Drosophila melanogaster: one gene and its partner. The protein of the gene in region 2 purifies or fractionates together with the protein of the main gene of each other region. This does not show direct contact. Each region holds a gene or a part of one and is shown on either strand. Other genes may lie near its edges. The genes, in order: Ufm1 and HDAC6.

Evidence for each region.
Region 1: the proteins of HDAC6 (region 2) and Ufm1 purify together in Drosophila melanogaster (affinity purification with mass spectrometry, with the first as the bait; one large-scale study listed by BioGRID). This does not show direct contact.

Annotation. Positions count from the first base shown.
Region 1 is NT_033778.4:16,948,385-16,954,960, reverse strand, and holds Ufm1 (Ubiquitin-fold modifier 1), read right to left. Parts: upstream 3,125-6,576; 5' UTR 2,908-3,124; intron 2,810-2,907; 5' UTR 2,724-2,809; coding exon 2,460-2,723; 3' UTR 2,380-2,459; downstream 1-2,379. Other genes in the region: mute (muscle wasted), read left to right, coding at 1-306, 372-702, 757-1,825, 1,886-2,357, 3,211-4,219, 4,287-4,420, 4,481-4,809, 4,871-6,245. UniProt on the Drosophila melanogaster protein: Ubiquitin-like modifier which can be covalently attached via an isopeptide bond to substrate proteins as a monomer or a lysine-linked polymer.
Region 2 is NC_004354.4:15,328,247-15,347,222, reverse strand, and holds HDAC6 (histone deacetylase 6), read right to left. Parts: upstream 12,746-18,976; 5' UTR 12,573-12,745; coding exon of another isoform or gene 12,549-12,572; 5' UTR 12,267-12,548; coding exon 11,955-12,266; exon of another isoform or gene 11,874-11,954; coding exon 11,743-11,873; exon of another isoform or gene 11,678-11,742; coding exon 11,494-11,677; exon of another isoform or gene 11,252-11,493; intron 10,934-11,251; coding exon 10,662-10,933; intron 10,609-10,661; coding exon 9,201-10,608; intron 9,152-9,200; coding exon 8,519-9,151; intron 8,387-8,518; coding exon 8,299-8,386; coding exon of another isoform or gene 8,249-8,298; exon of another isoform or gene 8,131-8,248; intron 7,597-8,130; coding exon 7,208-7,596; coding exon of another isoform or gene 7,055-7,207; 3' UTR 6,863-7,054; downstream 1-6,862. Other genes in the region: Prp5 (pre-mRNA processing factor 5), read right to left, coding at 1-1,125, 1,460-1,735, 1,801-1,817; CG12608 (uncharacterized protein), read left to right, coding at 2,732-3,490, 3,550-3,626, 3,721-4,216; CG9123 (uncharacterized protein), read left to right, coding at 5,243-6,001, 6,061-6,137, 6,232-6,700; CG9114 (uncharacterized protein), read left to right, coding at 14,281-15,679, 15,736-16,196; dah (discontinuous actin hexagon), read right to left, coding at 16,522-16,889, 16,952-17,111, 17,174-17,291, 17,356-18,213, 18,271-18,487, 18,551-18,779.

The DNA of each region.
Region 1 (6,576 bases), on a different chromosome or scaffold from region 2:
CGGAAGGTGGTGCGCAACGATCATGTTCTGGCATTAGTCACTTTGAAGGCGGAGGACGAGCTGGCGCGGGAGAAGTTGGAGTCGGCGGAGCAGCAAAAGCGGGGTGCCATCATCATAACGGACACTCCATCTGTGCCCAAGCTAACGCGAGCGAAAGCACGGGAACTGAACTGCACGCCTGGGATCTCGCTGCCCCAGCTCAATGAAACTTCCACCGACAATAATGGTATAGAGGCTCTAATACGTGAGGATTTGCACTCTGATGAGGAGGACGAGGAGTATACCTTCAAGGAGGAGGACTTTCATGTGAGTATAAACATTGAGGCCAATTGATCGTTGTTCAATAATTGTTATTATTCCTTTATTATCAGTCCGATGATGATCCTAACACTACAGCATCGGATTTCGACTCCAATCCCTGCACGCCTCAAACTCCTCTTACTGCCAATGAGGAATCTCCTATCAAATTCTCTGATGACGGTTGTTTCAAGGTGCCGTTGGACAGAAATTTTCAGGATAAAGAGGATCTTAGGATTGCCACTAGAACGCGCTCCAAATTTTGTTTGCAGCAAACTACCATTGAGGATTTGCAGTCGGAATTTGTCCCGCCGGACGTGGAGCCTAGCGATGTGGTGGAGAACGAAATGACCGCCAACGATGCGGATTGGATGCAGTTCCTCAATGACTTTACAAAGCCTTTAAGTATGTAGTATCAATGGATGCTTTTATGCTCTCCCTAACTTTAATATCTTACAGACAATACGGTCCAGGGCGACGATGATGATCCTATTAACGATCCAGAATATGTGGCCGCTGATCACTTGGAATCGGAATATGAGAACGCCGAGGAGCTGCGCGATGTAAATATATCTAAAAAAGAGTTAACTGACCTGGTCTCTGAGCTGTTTGCTGGTTTGCTGGAAGAAGGAGTCTCTCTGGAATCGATTGAATTGGAAACACCTCAAAAATTCGTTGAAAGTGCCAACGTTTCGATGATTCCCATTGATCAAGTGTCCCGTAACATCGATTTTGATGGCCAGCAGATAAATGCTAATCAGCAGGAGCTGTCCGTTTTTCAACCTAATCTAATGCCGCCTCCTTGCGAAGGGAACGAAATGGGCATGGGTGTGCCTGTCCCTGTGGCTGTGCTGCAGGAGGAAACTGGTGGATCCGCTTGCAATGTGGTAAACATACCTTCCGAGGCGCTGACTGTTCCCCCCGAACTAATAGCTGTTCCAATACCTGGGCAACCTAATTGCTTCCAAATCGCCAAAGTTGTAGGCAATGATTCAACTGTTGGTCTTCCATTAACTGAAGAGACACTGCAGAACTTTTCTAGCTTGCATCCAATGGAACCCCCCGTGGTAGCTGCAAGCAATGGAGATCGATATAAAAAACCATTTGATACGAACTTCACCTGGGAATACATCTCGGTTAGGAAACATATATATTCGGAGTATGAGGAAAAGTTTGAGAGCCTGCGAAACGTAGAGCCAGTAAACCTCAATCATCTCGCCAGGAGCAGGGGATTTACCCAGTCTCAGCATGATATGCTTCAGCAGCAGCTTCGCATTCACACGCAGTTGCTCAGTCAAAGCTATCTGCAAACCTACTCCCATCCTACGTTGTACCCCATGGCCAAGAAGCCCAGAGAAATGTTGGAAGAATTGCACAAAATGGCAACTAAAGATCCCAGTTTTAATTGCTGGAATCTGCAGGAGGCTGTTCAGCTGGTTAGAAAATGGGAACATGATCTGTCCAGTGATGAGTTTAAGGAGGAGAACGAGAAGATGATGGACTTCATCAATAAGGAAACGGATCTGACGTAAGTTGGTGAAACTTTAAACAAAACATGCTGCTGTACAACTTGTATTTACTATTTTAGTGATGGCCACACGCGCCAGGTTCCCAGGCTGGCGCCTCGTATTATGGATCTCATGCTGGATAGCCGGGTGTTTATGTATCCGCAGTACCTACCCCGTATGGCGTTTCAACCGAAACTGACTCAAACCACCGCTTACGCACCATCCGAATATCAGCTTATTGCCATTGGCCTAGAGAAGCACTTGGCATTAATGGTAAAAGCCAAGAGACAACTACGCAAAGGTGCAGATCCCATTCGCGTTGCCTGTAAGCGAATGATTAAGGATACGATTTGTGGAAAGACTGCCCGCCGAATTTTCTTGAAAATCGCGGAGCTACGCAACTCAAAACAGTACAATCCAGTGAAGTATTTCTTTGAACATCGTCGAGCACCGCCCGCTAACGCCATCCTTTGGGGATTCGCTGGTGGGCTGGTGAGAACTCCGCGGGAACGACACATGGAGCTTCCCAGTGGCTGGCAATACTACATTGAGGTAAGGAATACAATGGGTTATTATCGGATACATTGTTTAACATTTAATAAGCATCAAAAAGGGGGAAAATCTCAAAGGGTAAATAAGATGGGATTAGGAAAACTAGCTTAGTTGGTGGCCCACTCGATCTCTGGGTATGAGGCGCAGCTCGGATCCGTGCTTTAGGAACACATTACCAGCAGTCTGCTGTGGGCTGATGCCAATTCCATCGTCCGTGATGATGGCACTCGTCTCCGCCGGAACCTTGAACTCTTCAGAGGCGAATTTCAGCACAGCCGTAAAGGGAGTTCCCTCCGGAACACTAAGCACCTTAAAGGGCAGCTTGGGGTCCGAAGTTAGCGTGATTTTGAAGGTTACTTTGCTCATAGTGGAATGTGCAGACGTGGTCAGTTTTGATACTCTATGGGAATAAACGGGTTTCCGATGTTTTCCACAGGCAGAGTGTTTGAGCCCTGGTGGTTAAAGTTTAAACAAGTATAAATTAGTTGGTTTGAAAATAGTTTTAAGGGGTATTTTATTTAAAAACAATAAAATATGTTGACGCTCTTACTTTAGTGCGGTCAATATTACGATAGGCAAGGCAGCGAGTTATCGTCTGTGATGAGTAATATTTGCATAAATGTACCTATGTCCGTACCTAATTAGGAATACATGTTTAGAACTTTATTAATTTTTCTCTTAAATTTTAAGTAATATACTTGCTAGTGATTGTTGGCAGAATTATTTTACGAAATAAATCACTGGTCATCGGTGGCTAGGTACCATCGACCAAAGTTATCGATATCAATATACATAGCTTGTGCCATCGCTGTGTTTATAAATCGCGGACAATTTTCAATCTATTATTTTTCAGAAAACTTGGGATCAAAAGCGCACACGTCGCAATTTTAAAGCATCGAAAGCATCGTCGGTGGCTAGTGCTTCTTATTTGGAGTTTGTACGCGAGGCGGTCGGCGAGGACCTGCTGCTGCCAGAGACTTTTGGTCAGGCTGCGGTCCCCAATGGCAGTGCTGCTGGTTCGGAACCGCCCAAGGAGAGCAAACCGAAGAAAAGGCCAGCGCAAAGGAGACCCCGCCCTGCGGAAAACCCACCACAGCTTACCATCAATGTGAATTATGTTTTTGGCGGGAATACGAGCGCGGGAAACATACCCGGGGTCTCTGGGGTTTCGGTGCCCTTGGTGGCCGGCGGAAATCTGGCCGAGAACGTACTGAACATCAATCGCAGCTTATACACCGCCGCCGAGTGCAGTAGTCTGCTGGCCTTGCCGCCTGCTCCTCCACCATTGGATGAAAATGCTCCGCCAGCCATCAACTTCACAGTAGACAAGTTCACTAACACACTACAAATCTGCGAATTGGAGGAATCCAGCAAGGCCGTACAGCCGGATCTGTTGCCTGCGCAGGATACCCCTTCCGTCCCAGGCAGAAACGCCAAAAGGGCGCGATACCAAATCTTTAAGCCAAAGGTTCAATCCGCCAATAAATCGCGAAAAGGGTCAACACCAACCCGCAGTCGATACCATATATTGCGCGAACGTTTGCGCCATAAACTAAGCCAGCGCTGTCATTCCCTAATCACCACCTATGAATCCTACCTGCGTCATCACATCGAAAAATATAAAGACTGCGAGTTGGTACAGGTCGTGCACAATCGTTTTTTCGCCCTCGAACTGTACACTCAACTTCTGGTCGATCTGAGGATGTTCTGCAGCAATACAAACTCTAAAACGGCAGCGCAGCCAAAGAGATCTAGGAGTGATGATGAGGCGGCGAAGCTGAGAAGAGCCAACCGGCAGGAGGAGATGCTTCGCCAAATGCTCCAGCCGGATACTACAGAAGAGCGCAATCGCAAAGATGCCAGTAAGTTTTAGTTCAATCCCATTTAATGAAATTCAACTTGAATAATTTTATTATTTTGCACGTTCAGTTTTTGCCATGAATTTTTATGAAAAGGTAGAGGAGGCCTTGCTGAGTGCCAATCGCCTAGATGATTGCAAAAAATTCAACAGTATTTTGCAAAACTTCGACCCCAGGCAGGAGAAAGTTTCATCTTTGTATTTGGTATGTATCACTTAAGTGTCTTACTCTTATTGCATTCTAATTTTTTTTTGGGGTTCTTAGAAAGTGGAAGAAATTTTGCTACCCACTCATCCCGAACTGGCTGAAGTATTCCTCAACTTTTTGCTACCTGCCGAGGCCGCTGAGATGGGAAAATTCTTTGAGCACTTTATGATATGCAATGCTACCAACTTTATCAACAAACTTAACATTTACTTCAGTAAGCAGCCAGCTCAAATCAGGAAGATTTATGCCTGTCTAAACGAGTTGGCCGAAATGCCTAATGTCAGCATGAAAAAAGTTGAAAATAAGATAATGCCCTTGCTCAAGGGCAATCAATTTCTGATCGATTGGTTTGTGCAACAATTCCCACAGGGAAAACCACCAAAAAGGTAAGAATGGTAAACAAAATACTCGAGATTGATTTAATGTAACATTGTCTTTTATTTCCAGAATCCTTTCTCCTGTAGAGACCATAAATTTGCATGACGTTCAAAACAATACAACGGGAGAATATACGGAAACTATTCAAGAGTTTACAGATGTACCTACGCCAAGTAAACCAGGTTGTCACTTAAAGTATATCAATGGTCGCATATTTTATGGAGCCAAGATCCTATTGCCTGCCAAACTGTCTTTTATGGCTGCCAGTATTTACAATGAACAATCTCATGACGTGCCACCCGTCTCCAGTGACTCGATAAACTGCGCCCATGGTATTCGTGCCCAGGGAGAAAAACTTCTTAGTATGGCTTCCAATACAGATAGCGACGATGGCGCGGATCGGAGTGAGGAAGATGATGCCAGCCGCGCCTTGATTATTGATACCACGAGTGATGAGCAGAACAGCTGCTCATCTATTGAGATGTGCGATGAGACAGGCTTAAGAGCACATGCAATCAGATTGAATCCCGGCTTGTATACCAACTCAAGCTTTAACAATGCAGCGACCAGTACGCCCAATCTGGGCAACTCTCACCAATCCCATCATCCGCACGCCAAAAAAACTGCCATAAACTTTGGTGAAATATCCCCACGCAAGCAATCGGCATTTAACAACTCGGGATTGAGTCCCTTATCGGCGGCCCCCAACAGTTCCCCTCAAGTCGACAAACGAAAGTCACCTACTAAGAAGATCCGATCTCCTCTTAATCAAACTCAGAGCAGACAACGTGCCAATAATCAGCCAATGGTTGTTATCCATGAGTCTCAGCCTTCATCTTCGCCAGCCATTGAGTGTGCAAAGCGCTTGCGCACGCTGATCGATCAGGAGAGCGTGCGGGATGCAGCAGATACAAAGGCGGGCATTCGAATTATTGCGCAAGCCAAGCAGCAACCTCCAAACCAATGCAGCTCTGAAGCTATTACGAAAGTCGAGGTAGTCAGCCTGGATGAAAGTGCCGAGAATATGCCTTTCTGTACAAATCTCAAAATGGACACAGATCAATCGGAGGAGGAGCTGGAGCCACTGCAATTAAGTGCTGGCAACACACCACAGCACGTGATCACAACACAATTCGATAGCGATGAGGACTGCAAGCTGGATGTTGTGGCCACGCTGGCGAACTGCACCACCACCGAAGATAGATCGGAATCGGCAGCGGCATTACCTGCCACCACATCGCACTCTGAGTCTGGTAGTTCCCACTCGGCACCTTGGACTCGTGAAGAGGACAAAGTAATCCTGATCGAAATGAAAATAGGGGCACGGGATCGAGAGCAGCTCATTCGGCGTATGCGCGCCAAGCTAAAGAATCGCAGTATAGAAGAACTACGTAGTAGGCATCAGTTTCTTATGGACTTTCTGTCCAAATTGCAGGGAAAGTGAGGTTTCTCTAAGATGGTCTTTTGTGTATTATAATCCAAGCTGAAATAGGATACTAATAATAACTGTATATAAACGAAATGGTTTACCCCATACCTACAAACCAAACTTTTTGAAGGGAATTCTTTGTTGTACTGATTACCTATTTAAGCATACAAAAATTCCCTTCAGAATACTTAGTTTTATTATTAAAAATTTGAATATTTTGAAATCTACTGTACGTTGAAATTGACTATTAATAGATATATTGAAACCATGAATTTAATATTTTTGTGTCCGTCTAAGTTTACTTTTCTATATGATAAGAAGGTCGCATTGTTTGAATTTGATTATT
Region 2 (18,976 bases):
AAGTTCTTGCGGAAGGGCGCATACGTAACCGAGGAATGATCAATCTTGGCCAGCTCCTTGCGGTGCTTCATCGCCAGATTAACGGCCGTGTCACGTATGTCCTCCAGTTCGTCCTCGCTAGAGTACTCCAAGCTGTCCATATTTTGTTCTATCACCTCGCCCTTCTTCAACGTCGTCGTCTTCTTTTTGGCCACTCCCGTGAGGATCACGACACCCTGCGATTTGGCGGGTGGATTGACAAAATTGTTCACACGCCGCATCTCGTTGTTGACCTCCTGCATGTAGGCATCCAGTGGATCGATTTCGTCTTCTGGCTCGGCTTCGGGTTGCGGCTTGTCTTCCACTTCCGGCTCCGATTTAGCACCCACATGCGGCTGTTCCGGCTCCTTCTTGGTCTTCTCCCCTGCTGCGACGGTGGGCTCTTCAACGATCTCCATTTTGGCCGCTACTGGTTCGGGCTTCTTTTTGATCTCCTTTTTGGTGTCCACCGGCGGTGGCTCCTTCTTGATATCCGCCTCGGCTTTGGTGGCCAGGCCAATGCCCAATTTGCCAAATGATTTGCTAAAGGTGGGACGCTTAACGGGCGAGAACTTCGACTCGACCACGTCATCGTCGAAGCGCTTGCGTATGCTGTGGAATTTTGAAGGCGGCGAGTCCGGTTCGGCGTCCTTTTTCCCACTGTCCAGCGGCGGAGCGGGATTGCTGTCGTCCTCCTCAGACTCGTCCTCCAGACTCCATTTCTTTGCGGAATTGACCAGCGACGGCGCCACGACAGCCGCCTTAGTGTCCCGCTTGCGTTCCGCGCGCCAACGTTCGATTCGCTCGCGCCGCTTAATCATCTCTTGCTCCAGACGACGCTGCTGCTCCTCCTTGTCGATCTCCTCCACCTCCTCTTCGGAGCAGCTGGTCGAGAGCAATGGTATAATCAGCGGAGCAGCTGCGGCCGCTCGTCTGCTATCGGATTCCTTTTCTCGCTGGCGATCTCGCTCCCGATCCTTGTCCCGCTCGCGCTCCTTTTCCTTCTCGCGCTCCTTTTCCTTCTCGCGCTCTCGTTCCTTCTCTCGCTGCCGATCGCGATCCCGATCACGGTCACGATCCTTGTCCAGACGCCTGTAGTGGGGCGAACTAAAAAAAAGTTTGTCTTTAGAGGATGCATGTCCAAGTTAGCCTTCTTTCAATCCATTCCACATGGAATCTTTCAGCAGTTTAAAATGAAATTCCCTAAGGAAGTTTGGGATGAGGATAATTAAATATTTGGGAACCATTTTAACTTTTAAGCAAATAAAAGCAGACACACCAAATTGGATCTCATATGGTTGAAAACGTGACGTTTTCACACATAACCCAATCATTTATAAATGTGTTAACATTAACCTTCGACATTTTGAAGTATTTTAACCTATTCAATCACAGACACACATTGAAGGCAGTATTTTTGTAGAGAAAAACGCATGCTCACTTGTCCTTCTCGTAATCCTTTGACCTGGAGCACTTCCTCCGCTTATCGTCGCGTTTTCCACGATCGCTGATCATGTCCTTTCCGCGCTTCCGGTCTTCGCGCATGTTCCGGGAGCCACCACCGGCTCCGCCGCCTCCACCGTTCCTGGACTTGCCCATATCATAGTCGCGACTGCGACTGTCGTGCCGGTTGTCCCGCTCACGATCCCTGTCGCGCTCTCTCTCACGGTCGCGCTCCCTCTCTCTCTCCCGGTCGCGCTCCCTGTCTCGATCGCGCCTTTTGCGGGAAAATAAAGCAATTAGTATATCTGTTTTCAAACAATTTGATGAGGCAAAACTTACCCGGAACTTTTCGACATGGCGCTTTCTTTGGATTTCTGTTCGCCGGTTTGACGATGCAACGCCTCCAAATGACGGTCGGTGCTGGCTATGCGCGATTCCCACTGCCCTTAGTTACCCGGACACGGCGCGCAGTAGAATGCAATTGTTTTTATACAGATATTAGCGAATTTTCATTCGCAACATATCACAAAATACTACTTATTAAACGTCAGATATCGCACAAGTGCCAATCAAAGTTATCGATTACAGCATTAACAGCTCTGTTACGGTGCGGTCCGTCACTGCTAGTGACTGCAAGCAGACTGTTGGCGAACATCGATGTTTTCGATGTTTTTGGCGAGAAACATCGTTGTTGTTATAAAATATAAACTATCTTTTTTATCTTTAATCTATTTTTATCTAAGGATATTTTAAGGATTAAAAGATAATTTTCTTTTTTAATATTGCAGTATGCTGCGTTTGGTGTCCACCTTCCCATTTTTCGCTGGTCCAGTAATTGTTCTTAGAAAACATATATAAACATACATATTGGAAATCATACCAAATAATGCAATTCAATGGAAAAGTGAACGAGACTAATACATTTATACAGCCACGACGCCAGCCAACAAGTCACATTAAATTTGCAATACGCCATTAATAATTGTATTAGAATATATAAAAATTAATTTATACTTACAATTTATACGCTTTTATTCTCCGATGAGCAATAGAGATGAAAAAACATCGCTGATTCACCGAAAACATCGATGTTTCTGATATTTCGAAGACATCGATGTTGGCCTAAAATGTTTTTCCGCCTCTAACTTTGAATAGTCGTTGTCGTTGGAACACGTTTTGCCAGCAGAAACAAATTCTTGAATAGAATTTAGTGACTTATTCGACAAATCCATTTAATTTTCCATTTCCATTTTCATTTCAAACCGCTGCCATGCCGCCGGAAATGGAGATCATAGTGGGCACCTACGAGGAGGTCCTGCTGGGCTTCAAGCTCATCAAATCGCCGACTGACGGCTTGACCGATTCCGTCAAATTTGAGCTGAAACAGACTTTTGCAGACAGCTCCCATGCAGGATCCATTACATCGGTGGCCGTGCAGTGGCCTTGGGTGGCCAGTGGCGGTACCGACGACAGGATCTTCGTCTACGACATGCGCACGCGGAAACAGTCGCAGATCATACTCTCGCACGCCGGAAGAGTGAACACACTGAAATTCACACCTGACCTGTCGCACTTGCTCTCCGGGAGCGACGATGGCCATATGATCGCCACACGCGTGGGCAGCTGGACCAAAGAGGGTGATTGGCAGAAGGCCCATGCCGGACAGGCCGTCACCCACATCAGTTGCCATCCCAGCAGCAAGTTGGCCTTATCTTTGGGCGGCGACCAGGTGCTGAACACCTGGAATCTGGTCAATGGCCGCGTCGCCTACAAGACCAATTTAAAGAACAAGGCTACGCTGGGTCTCCAACCGGGCTGCTTGTCGTGGTCCAAGCAGGGCGATCACTTCACACTTAGCGGTCCATTGGTTCTGGAGATCTGGGGCATCGAGAACGCTCATGTTATGCGTCGCATTGAGATGCCGGCGAAACCCATTTGCATCACCTGGCTGGATGGGAACGAGTGTTTAACTGGCCTGGACAACGGCAACATTGCCTGGATTTCCCTCAAGGACGAGGATGATACACCAGTAAGAATTGCACTTTCTCAGCCTGTTATCTATGATACTTAAATGCGCTTTCTTTGCAGCCCACCTTCATTCTTGCACACGAGGCAAGGGTCAAGGCCATCGCCTATCTGAACGAATTACTGGCCACCGTCTCCAGGTGAGTTATTCTATAAAAATCCAAGCTACACCCAGATAACTAAGAACACCCATCACATTATTCGTTTTTATATATACAAATTTATCTTTTCCAGCGCTGGTGAAATCAAAGTCTGGAAGATCGACATGGAAACGCGCAAGCTGGAGGAGATTGCCAGCAGCTTCATGGACTGCCGACCCACCGACTTGGGCCTGCTGGATCTCCGCCAGTTCGGCAATGTCCAACCGGTGGAACAACGCATTAAAGTGGAGGAGAAACCAAAGGCGAAAGTGGAGTCTGACCAAAGTGCCAAGCCTGCAGCACCTCGGGGATTCGTGACCATCGAGTACGAGCAGGATAAGAATCTGGATGCCGAGAAGAAGAAGGGAAAGGGGAAGAAGAACAAGATACAGGCAAAGAAGGCGCAACAGAAAGCCGAGGAATCCTCAGAAGAAAGCAACTCATCGGAAGAAAAGGAGAGCGACGACTTCTCCGACAGCGACAGCGATGTCTCCAGTGATCACGGCCACCGGAAGAGGAAGCCAATGAAGCGCAAGCAGCAACCCACTCCAGCCTCCAAGGGGAAGGCAAAGCAGCAGAAAAAGAAGTAGTTTTTAGTAGCTAACGTTATGACTATCAATAAATATTGAGTTAATCTAGAGATATAGATAAAAAAACCATAGATGAACTGTCGATTTGGCTGGGATGAACAGAATTATGAATAAATACCTCTGAACTTAAGAAGTTCGATCTCATTAACGAAACTAGAAACTGTTTTTGAAAAAAAAAACTAAAAAAAACACTTAAATTAATTATTAGATCATTAGTTGAAATTGTTAAACAATTTGCATTTGTGTAAATGGTAGGGTGACTGGTGCTGGTAATATATTAAATGTTCTACTGTTTTGAACTAAGATAAAGTTAGATAAAAGCAAATCACACGGCAGATTTTTGGTTAAAACCCGAAGATACATTGCTAAAACGTAATTTTCGCATGGATTTCAATTCAGTAAGGATTCAATAAAAATACTTTTCAAAAAACTCAATAAACACAAGATACTAAATGCACATAAATCATTAAGCAAATTGGTCAAAATAATAGCACTTCCTGTAAAGTATTTCCTGATTTTTTTCAGATTTATAGGGTATTTCACTATTTGCATTTCAAACAACTTTCCCGTTTAAATAAAATAGTAAATACGATATTGAATATATAACATGAGACATAAAACCATTTTTCAAATTATTTATATGTTTCGATGTTTTTGGCGAAAAACATAGATGTTGTTATAAAATATAAACAATCTTTTTTATCTTTAATCTTTTTCGATCATTGATCTTTTTTATTTAAGGATTATTTTTTAATATTTTAAATAAAAAGGCAGTATTTGGTGACAACCTTTTCATCCTCCAGCAATTGTTCTTAACATTCCTAGAAAAACATCGATGTTTCTGATATTTCGAAAACATCGATGTCATCGATGTTGGCGTAAAAAGTTTCTCCGCCTCTAACTTCGAATAGTCCTTGCCGCTGGAACACGTTTTGACAGCAGAAATAAATTCTTGAATAGAATTTAGTGACTTATTCGACAAATCCATTTAATTTTCCATTTCCATTTTCATTTCAAACCGCTGCCATGCCGCCGGAAATGGAGATCATAGAGGCCACCAACGAGGAGCTCCTGCTGGGCTTCAAGCTCATCAAATCGCCGACTGACGGCTTCACCGATTCCGTCAAATTCGAGCTGAAACAGACTTTTGCAGACAGCTCCTATGCAAGATCCATTACATCGCTGGCCGTGCAGTGGCCTTGGGTGGCCAGTGGCGGTACCGACGGCAGGATCTTCGTCTACGACATGCGCACGCGGAAACAGTCGCAGATCATACTCTCGCACGCCGGAAGAGTGAACACACTGAAATTCACGCCTGACCTGTCGCTCTTGCTCTCCGGGAGCGATGATGGCCATATGATCGCCACACGCGTGGGCAGCTGGACCAAAGAGTATGATTGGCAGAAGGCCCATGCCGGCCAGGCCGTCACCCATGTCAGTTGCCATCCCAGCAGCAAGTTGGCCTTATCTTTGGGCGGCGACCAGGTGCTGAACACCTGGAATCTGGTCAATGGCTGCGTCGCCCACAAGACCAATTTAAAGAACAAGGCTACGCTGGATTTCCAAACGGGCTGTTTGTCGTGGTCCAAGCAGGGCGATCACTTCACACTGAGCGGTCCATTGGTTCTGGAGATCTGGGGCATCGAGAACGCCCATGTTATGCGTCGCATTGAGATGCCGTCGAAACCCATTTGCATCACCTGGCTGGATGGGAACGAGTGTTTAACTGGCCTGGACAACGGCAACATTGCCTGGATTTCCCTCAAGGACGAGGATGATACACCAGTAAGAATTGCACTTTCTCAGCCTGTTATCTATGATACTTAAATGCGCTTTCTTTGCAGCCCACCTTCATTCTTGCACACGAGGTAAGGGTCAAGGCCATCGCCTATCTGAACGAATTCCTGGCCACCGTCTCCATGTGAGTTATTCTATAAAAATCCAAGCTACACCCAGATAACTAAGAACACCCATCACATTATTCGTTTTTATATATACAAATTTATCTTTTCCAGCGCTGGTCAAATCAAAGTCTGGAAGATCGACATGGAAACGCGCAAGCTGGAGGAGATTGCCCGCAGCTTCATGGACTGCCGACCCACCGACTTGGGCCTGCTGGATCTCCGCCAGTTCGGCAACGTCCGACCGGTGGAACAACGCACCAAAGTGGAGGAGAAACCAAAGGCGAAAGTGGAGTCTGACCAAAGTGCCAAGCCGGCAGCACCTCGGGGATTCGTGACCATCGAGTACGAGCAGGATAAGAAACTGGATGCCGAGAAGAAGAAGGAAAAGAAGAAGAACAAGAAAGACGAGGAATCCTCAGAAGAAAGCAACTCATCGGAAGACAAGGAGAACGACGACTTCTCCGACAGCGACAGCGATGTCTCCAGTGATCACGGCCACCGGAAGAGGAAGCCAATGAAGCGCGAGCAGCAACCCACTCCAGCTTCTAAGGGGAAGGCAAAGCAGCAGAAAAAGAAGTAATTTTTAGTAGCCAACGTTATGACTCAACAAATATTGAGTTAATCTAGAAATATAGATTAAATAAAACCGTGGATGAACTGTCGATTTGGCTGGGATGAACAGAATTATGAATAAATACCTCTGAACTTAAGAAGTTCGATCTCATTAACGAAACTAGAAACTGTATTCGAAAATAAACTCAAAAAACACTTGAATTATTTATTAGATCATTAGTTGATAACTTTAACAATTTGCATTTGTATAAATGGTATGGTGACTGGTGCCAGGATCTCCAGGGGATGACCGACCGGCTGCCAGTTGCAGCAGTTTTCAGATCAGTTGTGGGTGCGGGCTAGAGGATTGGATATGGGGTGCTCAGTGGGCCAGGAAGTAGTGCAACAGGTTAAGGTAAATGCGCTCCAGCAGCGGCCAGAGGTGCTCGGCCAGGAAATGGATTAGGTGCCTTAGTGGCGGGCAGAGCGCGCACAAGTAGTCCGTGAGGGCGTCCAGCACGCGGATGGCTAAGGGTCAGTTGTTGCGCTCCAGTCGCAGGCAAATGCTGCTACCGGCGCCATTATCATCATCGTCATCCTCATCTCGCCCATCGGGCCCCGTCGCATAGCAGCCATCCTCGCGCCACGCACACCCATGTGTCCAGGCCATCGGTTCCTGGAACTTGTCCTCGTGCAGCGGATTGAGGTAGGCATACAGGCGGGGATGGTCCACGTACGCGGAGCACGCGTAGCACCACACAGACAGGTCAGCCGTGCTCATCGCCAGCGGATGCTGCTCCTCCACTGAATGCTGCTCCATGTGGGCGTTCACATAGCGACCGCAGGCCACATGCCTGCAGCTCAGGCACACCCAGTTCTCCCCCGTCGATCCGCAAACGCTGCACTCCGCTCCGCTGTCTAGTGCTGATTTGGATGGGAAATCGTTGAGAAAGTATGTTAGTTGTGTCAGGATTGAGTAGCGTATAGCTCAAGAAGCTGTTCACATGCAGGCGATATATCAAATGTTCTAAAGTTTTAAACTAAGATAAAGTTAGATAAAAGCAAATCACACGGCAGATTTTTGGTTAAAACCCAAAGTTACATTGCTAAAACGTAAGGATTGAAGCAAAAAACCTTTTCAAAAAATGCAATAAACGCAAGGATACTGAAAGAAAAAACAGCCGCCAAGCACAAAAAGATTGCATGCCATATGCACATAAACCATTAAGCAGTTATAAGTAATTTAGAAAAATAGCCAATTGCTAATTTTAAGCACAAAAAGCAAAGAAAACGATGAACATTATAAGAAAGAAGAGTCCTTAAAATTGGTCAAAATAATAGCACTTCCTGTAAAGTATTTCCCGATTTTTTCAGATTTATAGGGTATTTCACTATATGCATTTCAAACAACTTCCCCATTTATATAAAATGTTAAATACGTTATTGAAGACTTAACTTGAGTCATAAAACCATTTTTCCAATTATTTTTATGGGTCACAGCATACAAATACAAAGATACAAAGAGATTCAATAACTGAATTTTTCTTGACAACTTGTTCACACTTAAGAAGTGCTATTATCTTGACCAAAAGGGGAGGGAATCTTCTCCGGACTGCATTGGCTTACATCGGGGCGCCTCCTCCGGACGTAGGAGCCTCAAGTGCGGACACGTCTTGAGCGGATACACGGCGAACATCTCACTCTGCTCGAGGGCCTGACACGCGAATGGGGATCGGGAACGGGATCGAGGGGCAGAGATTGCAGGGCATGGGATCGAGATGAAGAAAGGCACGAAAAGAAGCGATTAGTTGCCAGCTGAGGGATAAGCGCAGTGCTGTCCTCGTACCTCCTTGTTCTCCGCCAAGTAGTCGCTGAGCGTTTTTACCTTGACTTTGGGCTTGCTCCCGCTGGGCCGCTCATCGCCGCAGTCGGGACGATCGCCGGCGAGTCCGCCCGCCGCAGCCGTAGCATCGTCATTTGAGATATTCAAGTGTCGCAAGGAGGCGGTAAGAAAATCCTCGTTGTTGTTCTCGCCCACAACGGGATCCCGCGGCAGCCGCCGTCCGACGAACTCCAGCGAGCGCCAGTGGTTGCGCTGCACCTGCAGGCACTGCTGCAGCGATTCCACACAGCTCTGGAAGGCCACCGTTGGTGGCTTCTGCAGCGCCGTGGCTCCCAGCTGGGGCGTCGGCACGGGATCACCCAGCAGCGTCTTGGTGCACATGGTCATCGCGTACGAAATGGAGTTCACATTGTAGCCACCTTCCAGGCAAACGATTATCCGGCCGCTGGCCAAAGCCGACAGCCAGTGGGTGAGCATGCCGTAGCCCTCGGCCGTCACCTTGCATCCGCCCAAGGGATCGCCGATGGCAGCATCGAATCCGGCGGATACCAACACCAGCTGCGGATTGAACTCGTACGCAATGGGCATGATCAGCTGCTGGAAGGCCAGTGCGTACTCCAGGTCACCCATGCCCTTCTGCAAAGTGAGTGGAATGAGTTGGGCCCGTAAGTGTGCAAAAACCCACCTTGTTCCAGGGTATGTTCACATTGAAGCCCCTGCCGGCTCCCTTGCCCACCACATCGAAATTGCCATCGGGTCCCTTCGGGAAGAAGGAGCCGTGCTCGTAGCGATGTAAGCTGATGTAGAGCACCTTGGGATTGGACTCGAAAATGTGCTGCGTCCCATTGCCGTGATGGACGTCCCAGTCGACGATCAGCACACGCTCCAGACCGAAATCCCGAATGGCATACTGCGCCGCAATGGCCACATTGTTGAAAATGCAGAAGCCGTGCGGATGATCCTGCTCGGCATGATGGCCCGGCGGACGGACGTTGCAGATGCCGCTGCGGGACTCGCCACGCAGCACACTGTCCACCGCCTGCAGCACTAAACCGGCGGCCAGGGTGGCGCAATCGAAGGTGCGCGGATGCAGATACACCGAGTTGTAGATCCCAGCAGCGTCATGCAGTTCCTTCGGCTCGCGGCCCAGCAATCGACGCACTGTATTCACATGGGCGCGAGTGTGGGCCAGGCACACCTCGTCTGTGGTGGCCGCCCTGGGGGACAGTTGCTTCATCTGCTTCAGCAGACCGTAGTCGTCGTGCATCTTGTGGATGTGCTGGATGCGCGACGGCTGCTCCGGATGCCCCGTATCATTGAGATTGCAGTGCAGAAGCATTTGGGCATCGTAGGCATAACACACCTTAAACGACGGCACCGATAGCTTCGTCTCCGCGCGCAGCACCTGCAGACGAGCGGCATTGCTGGTCAGCTTTTCCGGCGGCAGCGGAATGGCCGTATCGCGCGTAGGGTAACGATCCATAGGCGGTGGTCCACCAATCCAATGGCGCAGTACCGTGTGCAGATCCTCTTCCTTATCCCGATCCTGCAATTCGACGCAATCGTAGGTCTGCTGGAGCTGCAGACATCGCCAGTGGGGTCGGTGCACGGCAATGCAGCTGAGCAGGGCCTGGGCGAGTTCCGCACGCGGCAGTGGCACTGTCTCCACCAGCGGCGGACAAGGATCGCCGAGCAGGGAGCGCAGGGTTAGGGCCGCACCCTCGGCCAGCGAGTCCAGGCAGTAGCCGCCCTCCAGAACGACGGCCACCCGGGCATCGGCCAGTCGCAGCAGCGGATTCAGCAGGTGCGGATAGCAGGCCGGCGTCACCTCCATCTCACCCTCCGGACAGCCCAGCGCCGCATCATAGCCAGCCGAAACGATGATCAGCTCCGGCTGGAATTCCAGGGCCACCGGCAGCAGCAGCTGCTGGAAAATGGCCAGGTAATCGCCATTGGTCATACCCGTCGCATTCAACGGCACATTGAAGTTGTATCCCGTGCCCGCTCCCGATCCAATGGCGTGGTAATCCGACTCGTGCAGATGCGGCCAGAAGCTTCCGTGCTCGAAGCGATGGATGGAGAAGTAAACCACCCTGAAACACACACACGATGAATGAGAATACTAAACATATATTGCCAACTTTACCTGGGATCGTTGTAGAAGAACCGCTGGGTTCCCTGCCCATGATGCACATCGTAGTCGATGATCAGGATGCGCTGCAGCTTGTGAACATCGAGGGCGTGCTGGGTGGCCAGTGCCACGTTGTTGAAGAAGCAATAACCGTTGTACTCGGCCTTCATCGCATGGTGACCCGGTGGCCGGATGATGGCCATGCCATTCTGCGCCTTTCCGGCGACCAGATGGTCCACCAATTCGATGGTGGAGCCGCTGGCCAGCAGGGAGAGCTCGAATGTGGACTGCGGGTGGGAGGCGGATAAGGTTATCAGTGTTCTATATATAACAAGTTCGGTGCTAGTAAAACAGCGGGAATCTTATCTAGGATGTAATAGTATGAGTACCAGCCCATTTTAACGAATTTACAGTGCGCTTCAGATTGCTGGAGGATTTAGCTAATGAAATATAAAGTAATAAAAGCTGCGGGCAGTCGTAATAATTAATAACTAAAGTTTGAGCAAACTAAATAAAGATTGCACGCAATATAAAGATAATGAATATCACAACAAGAATAGACATATTAGAATTACAATCGGGGAATAAATGCATTTTAAGTTCGGAGGTATAATCATTTGCATAATTTATGCCAGTCACTCAACCATTTACATTTATGCACCGCACTGTACCTGTGCAATGGGTCGCATCTAATCTAATCTGCTCCAATTTGCATTTATCAAGCCGTCGAATTAAAAACAACGCAATCTCCGCAAGCAATCAAGTGCAAATACAATAAAATGAGCTAATTTGGAGCCAGGCACTGGGATGCACTGTTCCATGTTCCCCGTTGGATGCGCTTGCTCACCGGATGAATGTAAATTGAATCGTAGCGGGAGCTCAGCTCCTCCATGCGCTCGTCATCGCGAATCCCGGACGTCTCCTTCAGCCGCTCGAAGTGCTCCTCTGTGTGCAGGCGCAGAATTTCATCCTTGGTCGCCGATCTCGAGGGCAACTCCAGGCAGCGCTCCGTCAGATTTAGTTCGCGACAGCTGGATGAGGAGATTAGGGAATACATATCAGCTTAATTTGTACCGTTTTCTTCAAATATACTCACCGTTCCAGGACTCGTGTGAAGCGCTCGGGACACTCGTAGTGCTCCTTGTCCCACAGGCAACAGTGCTGGCTCATGGACTCATCGTAGATCAGTGCCGTTGGTTTCCGCACCAGACTCTTGCTGTTGACAGCCTTTTCGTCGGCGACGATTAAATATCACTTGGTTAGGATTGCACAAGGACAGAGGATAGAGGTCAGTCAGATAGCACTCACATTCTGGAATATATCCGTGACGCTCTCCTGCGATCCGCAGCCCTGATTCTTGAGCATGTTGTTCCGAGCTCGACGTTTCGCCTCCAAGAGCGCTGCGTTCGGTTTGTTCGACTTTCGCGGATCGGCGGCATTAAATCCGCCGCTGATACTGCCGCTGCTGCTGCCGGTGCCGCCGGCCGCCGTCGCCGCCCCTGTCGTGCCCGTCTTCGATTTACTGGCCATTGCCCGTGTCTGAATCTTTGCCTGCTGCGCACTCCGTCGCGTGACGATGGGCGGGCTCTGCGAAAACGAATTTAAATCTTTAGTAAGCATTTCCCGCTAGGTAGACACACAACGCAGCTTCTGGCGGGGATTCATGCACAGATGGATCGCCAGTGCTGCTCCCACAGGCGAATTTGATTGCCCACTGGGGTGAGACAAGTGCTCAAGAATCCAGTTACCTAACCCTTTCCAAACAACCATATGTGGAATGGCATGAAAGATTTTACCAATGTTACCACATAAAAAAGCAACTCTCGGCCTTTTTCAATCGAAGATTACGGCGATTGACATAGGACTTTAGGAATCTGGATTGCAACTAATCTGGATTAAAACCTGTATCCAAATATCGCGTAACATCTATGGTCTGTAACTTTTTCGGTTAACTGCTTAAAATTTTGTTTACTATTTGCAAAAATGTAGTTTTTTTGCTGTTGCTAAACATTTAATCATGTTTTACGTTACACTATGCTAGAATATTAAAAATTTGAAACATGTCAAAAAAACTTCAAATCTGGACTGTTGGGTTTATTGCTCAAATTAATACTGTACAGTTTGTAAACTTCAAATATATGTTTATATTTCTTTTTAACTTCAAAAACCGAACATTGAGGTTTCACTGTATTTGGAACAACTACACGATAGTTTCGAAAAGCATAGCTTAAATATATCTTGTAGCTGTACTTAGACTCATATAAACAACCTCTTAGGACTTTGAAACCGTATATTCAGAGCGTTCTTCACGCGGAGGCTGCACTGCGTTTTCAGCGGACAACTGTTTACCACGAAGTTCGGATTGGAACTGCGGCGATGGAGGAGCTCAAAACCTGGCCAAGAAGCTTGCACTGTACGTGTGTGTGTGGTGTGTGGGTGTTGCTGTTTGGTTGCCACTGCCGCTTTTGGCCAAAACAACTCGAAAACGGCGGCAATAATCTGCCAGTACTCACCATGTTTGTGGGATTTCGAGTTGGCAAGCAAAGCTAAACCGATCCGAAGAAAACAGAATCGAACCAAGCGAAATCCGTATCCGAATCGGAGTCCAAATCCGAATATATATGGAAGTGGAGCAACTGGAGTGACTGAAAGCGCGGGGGAGCGGGACGGAGTGATTCACAGCTGCTTTTTGTTGTTGTTGTCGCTTTTTAATATCGCATTTACAGTATTTATATTTATTGGTTACTCCTATTCCGCTCCTCGACTCCCGTTATTTATCGATTCCTTGCAGCACACTTTTCTTTTATAAATTAGCCTTATTTTGTGTCTCGCTCTTACAGCCGCACCGAATGCTTGTGTGTGTTTGCGCTTCAAATGCTCTGCATTTGTGTTGTTGTCTTTTATCGTTGTTCTTGTTGTTTCTTACGTGTGTGTGCTGCTTGCAAACAGCTAATACTTAAAACACTGAGCAACAAAATTAAGCTTTTGCAGGCGATTGTCTTTTGATTTTTGGTAACGTTGCAGTTGATGCAGAAGATGCAGCAACAGTAACAGATACACAGACACTGCAGCGCGCACACACACAAGGACACGCGGGAAATCAGAACCTGAACCAGAAATCACACACAAGAATGTGGGGCCCGGTTTGTGGAGCGCTGTGGGGGTTGCGAGGCGGAGCGAGAGAGAGAGACGGTGAGCGCGAGAGACAGAGTGAGAGAGATGGGAAATGAGAACGCGCGGGCGGAGCGGAGTGCAATGTTTGTGTGGCGTCTTCTTCTTGCTACTTACAACGATCAGCTGCTCCGCCGATTGACACAACTTGTTGAATAATCGGTGTTAGTCGAGGGCCAACGTTATCAGCTTATCGATGTGCGTTTTTTATGAGAAATTGCTTGATTATGAGAGAAAGTGGAGGGCACAGATTGGTTAGGCAACACTGATTGTGTTTATGCGGTGTTAAAGACTTACCTCTCGCTAAAAGGAGCATTCGAAACTCGATTAATATTGGTTTTTCCATTTCAAAATAGCCTAATATCGTTCACCGCATCGATAACTACTACTTGAATTCAATAGCTATCGATTCGAAGGGCTTTCGAGTCAAGGGCGCCACATCCATCTTGTGGCTTCCGCATCCATGCTGCCGTTTGTCCAGGAGAATGTGCCGGAGATGCTGCTCCAGCCGGCCCGGTTGGCCTTCTGCGCCAATCTTCACGTGGGCCGACCGCGGGATGACCCCACTACATTGGTTTTAGCGAGAAACCTAAAGTTCTACGAATTCCGGCGCAAGGATCTGGTGCACTACATCGATTTGAAGGTCACGAAACTAAAGCAAATAGCCACCCAACTGGAGGCCTACGACGGACCGGTTTGTCCCTTTCTGTCCAAGCAGGAACCCACTGACGAAAAGGTGGACTGGAGCATGCTGGATCCGCCGGAGGATTTGCCCCTCAAATTTGGAAAGTTTGTGTGGCAACGGGAGGGCATCTACCTGTTAATTCAGTGCTGGAAGCATCTCGTCGTCCTAAAGAGGCCCAAGGATCACGGGGCCAACTTCGAACTGGTGGCGGATCACAAGGATGTGGTGGACTACCAGATGGTCGAAGGTCCCATTTCCTTCCAGGCCGTTGTGGAACTGGAGTTCGGCAATGGCAAGCGTCAGCGTTGTGATTTCCAGGAGGATTTCTTAAATGAGGAGCCCAGCACGTCCAAAAATGCGGGCTTGCCCGCGAAGGATTTCGAGAACCTGCTGCAGGAGGTGCACCGCGCCCAAGCCGAGCTCGACAGCCAGCGAATGCAAAACCAGAAGGAATTAGCCCACGTCCAAGACCTTCTATACTTCGGCACGCCGGGCCAGCGTTCGCTGCTCCTTGAGGAGAAGCAGCCGCTCCGACGACTCGGCGATGTATGGACTCGGATCTGCGGCGATTATTTTGTTTGTGGCACTCTGCTAGTCAACATAACTGGCACCAATCGCCTCACCATAGTCAAGGAGTTGTATCCGATTGTTGTAATCGAACCACACACCGACTTTAGCGTGGAGCACCGCCTGTACGAGCTGCCTCTGCAGGCGGATGGCCAACCACCCGAGGACTACGACCAGCTGGCGCAGTTTTGGGCCTGCCAGGATCAGCATAGCAGGCGTCTCAAATGGCGACCGGTGGAGAAGGAAAGAATACTACCGCCGGAACGATCTGCCGCGATGGTAGTGAGCCTGCGTCTGGTCGATCTTCTTGAGGCAGAGAAACTCATATTGATGGCAACGTACGAGATGGGCGAGGATGCATCCCCTAGGCAAATCCATCTCATTACCTTCGATGTGAAGAAACTGCTCGATAAAACAGAATCGTTGGCACCCACATTTTCGCCCGCCACGCTGCACCAAGACTTTTTGGCCGTTATTATGACGCACACGGCACGTTGCTCCCTGAAATTGGAGTTCCAGTCGGCCCAGGATTGCACGACATTCGAGCAGCTACTCGTCTCCACGCTGCAGTTTCAGTTGATCCAAGCCCAGGAAGCAAACAAGGAGCCGAGTGAGTAGCTTTGTCAAGACCACTTGTTGTCCCTTTTAACTCATAATCCCTTACAGCTTCCGACTTGCTGGACGACAGTGAGCCTGGGTCTCACTTTCAGTCTTCCAACATCGCCGCCGATCCTGTCCAGCGTATTTTCTACAATCGCCAGCCGCAGTCACAGTGGTGTGACACCTTGCTGCTTCGCGACGATCCCGGAAAGCATTGGCATGTGTACGCCAGAACGGACGATCGATTGCGTCTGCTACTGCATCGCCTGACGCGCGATCTCCTCCAGCTGCACTGCAACCTCAATGTGCTAGAGGTCGCTGAGCACAACATGTCGCCTGCCGACATGGAGATGGAGTTGCTAAACAGTCTGTTCGAGGAGATGGACGCCTGGAAGGTTTTGAGTGAGCCGGCAGCCAGTGTGGAGCAGCGCCGGGAGCAGCTGACGCAGCTCCACAAGGCACAAATGGCCAGCGATGTGTTGGCTTCTATGCTATTCACCGATGATGATGATGACAATGGGGCGTAAATGCGTTTTTTTTTTCTTCTCTTTGCATTGGAAAATCTACAAAGTTGATATTTTGTATGTAAATGCTTTGTTAACAATGTGTTTTTTGCATTGTATATTTTTATAAAAACATTTTGTTGTATTGCATTCTTGTCAGAGTTGTAAGTTTACAAATTAAAGCATTTACGCGAATGTTAAAGCACATGGGAAAAGGAAGAAGGATATAATAAATGCATGACTCGGTTGTGTCATTTTGTCACGATTACTTTAGAACAACTTTACAACTTAAAGCTAAGTGGACTTGGTCTGGCTGGAATCGATGGGAGTTGGTATCCGATCCGGATCCTCACGTGCTGATGCGCCGCTGCTGCTCCTCGCTCTTGATGATGCTATCGAGAACGTTCTCCAGATTTTGCGTGGCCGCCGACAGTTCGGCATTATCGCTGTACGAGTCCTCGACGATCTCCTTGACCTTGTGCAGCAGCAGCTTAAAGTTCACCATCTCGGTGTCGCGGCCATCTCCGCCGTTTGCCGGCTGCTGTTCCAGTAGAGCACCCAGCGGCATGGGCAGCGGCAGAGGAGCCGGCAGGGAACCAGGTCCTTGTCCTGGCTGGACACTCGAGCGACGCTGGTCGAACCACAAGCTTATGTCGTTGAGCGAGTAATCCGATTTGTTTGCCTCCAGATAGCTGCGATTCAAGTCGGCGCCATTTACTACAAGAAACGATTAACTTAGTGGAGCTGTCTCATGGCTCTGTTGAAGGTTCTCTTCTTACTGGAGTGCGTGAGATTGGCACCCACGGGCGCATACATGTCGAATAGCATCTGTCGCTGAGGCGTGCTGGAGCTAAGGAACGTGGAGCTGACTAGGGGCGCAGCTGAAGGCGCCACTTGGGCAGCTGGCGCAGGTGGCGGCGAAGTTACCGCTGAGGCATGCTGCAAGTGTATATAAATGGAGTTAGCTCAGCTTAAATGGGCCGAATGTTTGGAAAACTCACTGATAGCTGTCGCATATCCTCGATAATCTGCAGCAGAAAGCACTGATGGGCGCTCAGAAACTGCGATATTTCCGAACTAGATGCGGTGGCCACTGTTTGCAGCTGGGTTTCCAGCTTCCTGAAATGCAAGAGAACCTTAAGGCTTGGCTAACAAGTGTGGCGAAAGAAGGGAAAACACCCACGCATTTTGCAAAAGCAATCGATCGATGATGGACTGCAGCCTGCTGGACGCCTCGCTGGCTAGACCCGTCAGGGAGCAGAGCTCCTGCTGCTGTTGCTGCAGGACAACTGTGCGGTCCTTCTCCTGGCACTGACTGCGCACACTGCGCGTCTCTGCGGGAATGGGCGTGGCAGCGGATTGACCCAAGGCGGGCCCACTCTCCTGCGCATTACAGAAGCCGCGACGCTCCTCCTCCTGTGTTTTGCGCGGCATCACCAGCCAGCCGCACAGCCTGGCCAGGTGGCGGGTCCAACGCAATGGCGGCTGATCCTCCACGAAGACCTCGCACATCCGATGACCCGGCTCGTGGCGACCACCAGCGAAGCCCACTGCAAAGCAGGGCAGGCACAACGATATATCCCTACACACCTGACACCGGAAACGTATGCCCACAATGTGCTCCTTGCGGCAGCCGGCACAAGAATTACTGTGAATCAAATGCTCGGTGTCCTCGATGCGTTTCACCAGTGCCAGCAGATTGCCATAGATCAGGAATCTCGTCTGGACACCCGCTCCCGTCCAGAGTTTGTGGAACTGCGGCTCGGTCAGTCCACCAACGCCATGCGGACAGCGGGCAAAGCACTGCTCCATAGCCAACGGAAGATTGTGGACGCCATAGGCCTTGGCCTCGCCCAAATAGCTGAGTAACTTGCTCAGCGTGGCTAGGAGCTGTTCGAATGCATATCTGGAGATGATCTGCGACTTGGGATCGGCCAGCAGGCCAAAGATGTCGCCCACCAGGTGATCGCTGCTATATAGCTTGCACAGCAGTATGAAGGTGATCCTGATCTCTAACAGGGATATGGAGTGTCTGCGTTGCCTAGCGAAACCAATCAAATATCAGACATATTCTTAAGATGCCAGAAACTCAACCCACGGATCGTAGACATTCCAGAAGAAGTTGGCCAACAGCCCGGTTGCCCTGTCCAGTTTATAGTTCGCATCCTGGTTGAAATGGCCTAGTTTCTCGCAGGCAAAGTATACATCGTGCAGCAGGGAGGTCAACTGGAATGGAGGAACCATCAGTTCCAGGCCACCACTCAAGTTATGGCGATCCAAAATGGCCAAAACCAGCTTGTAGGGGATTTTTCCAGCTGCAATTTGAAGGTTAATCCTTGGGGACTCCTTCGAATGGACCACCTACGCGACTGACTCACTGTGAAATATCTTTTGCAGCGCCACAAATTTACTGGCGCACCGGTATACCGTGTACTTGTAATTCCCGTAATCCCGCTGCAAGTCATCCATGATGGTGGATAGCTCTTTGTCCACCTGTTGCTTTTGTCCTTGGCCACCTTGGGATCCCTTTTCGCGGGCAATGGACGCCACGGCCTCGGCGCTATTTCGCAGTTTTGTCAGCTGCACGGGCACCGACGATCTCAGCATTTTGTCAGGCGTTTATTGTTATATATTTCCCTTGATTCTCGAATTAATTTCAGTCTCTTTTAAACGCGTCGTTTCTCGCGATCTCTTCCTCTTCCGTTAGCGCAAAAGTCAAATTGTGTGGCGTGAGGTGGCAACGCCGCGCGTGTTATCGATATCACTTCGCCGAACCGTTAGCGCTTTAAATTTGATTCAAAATT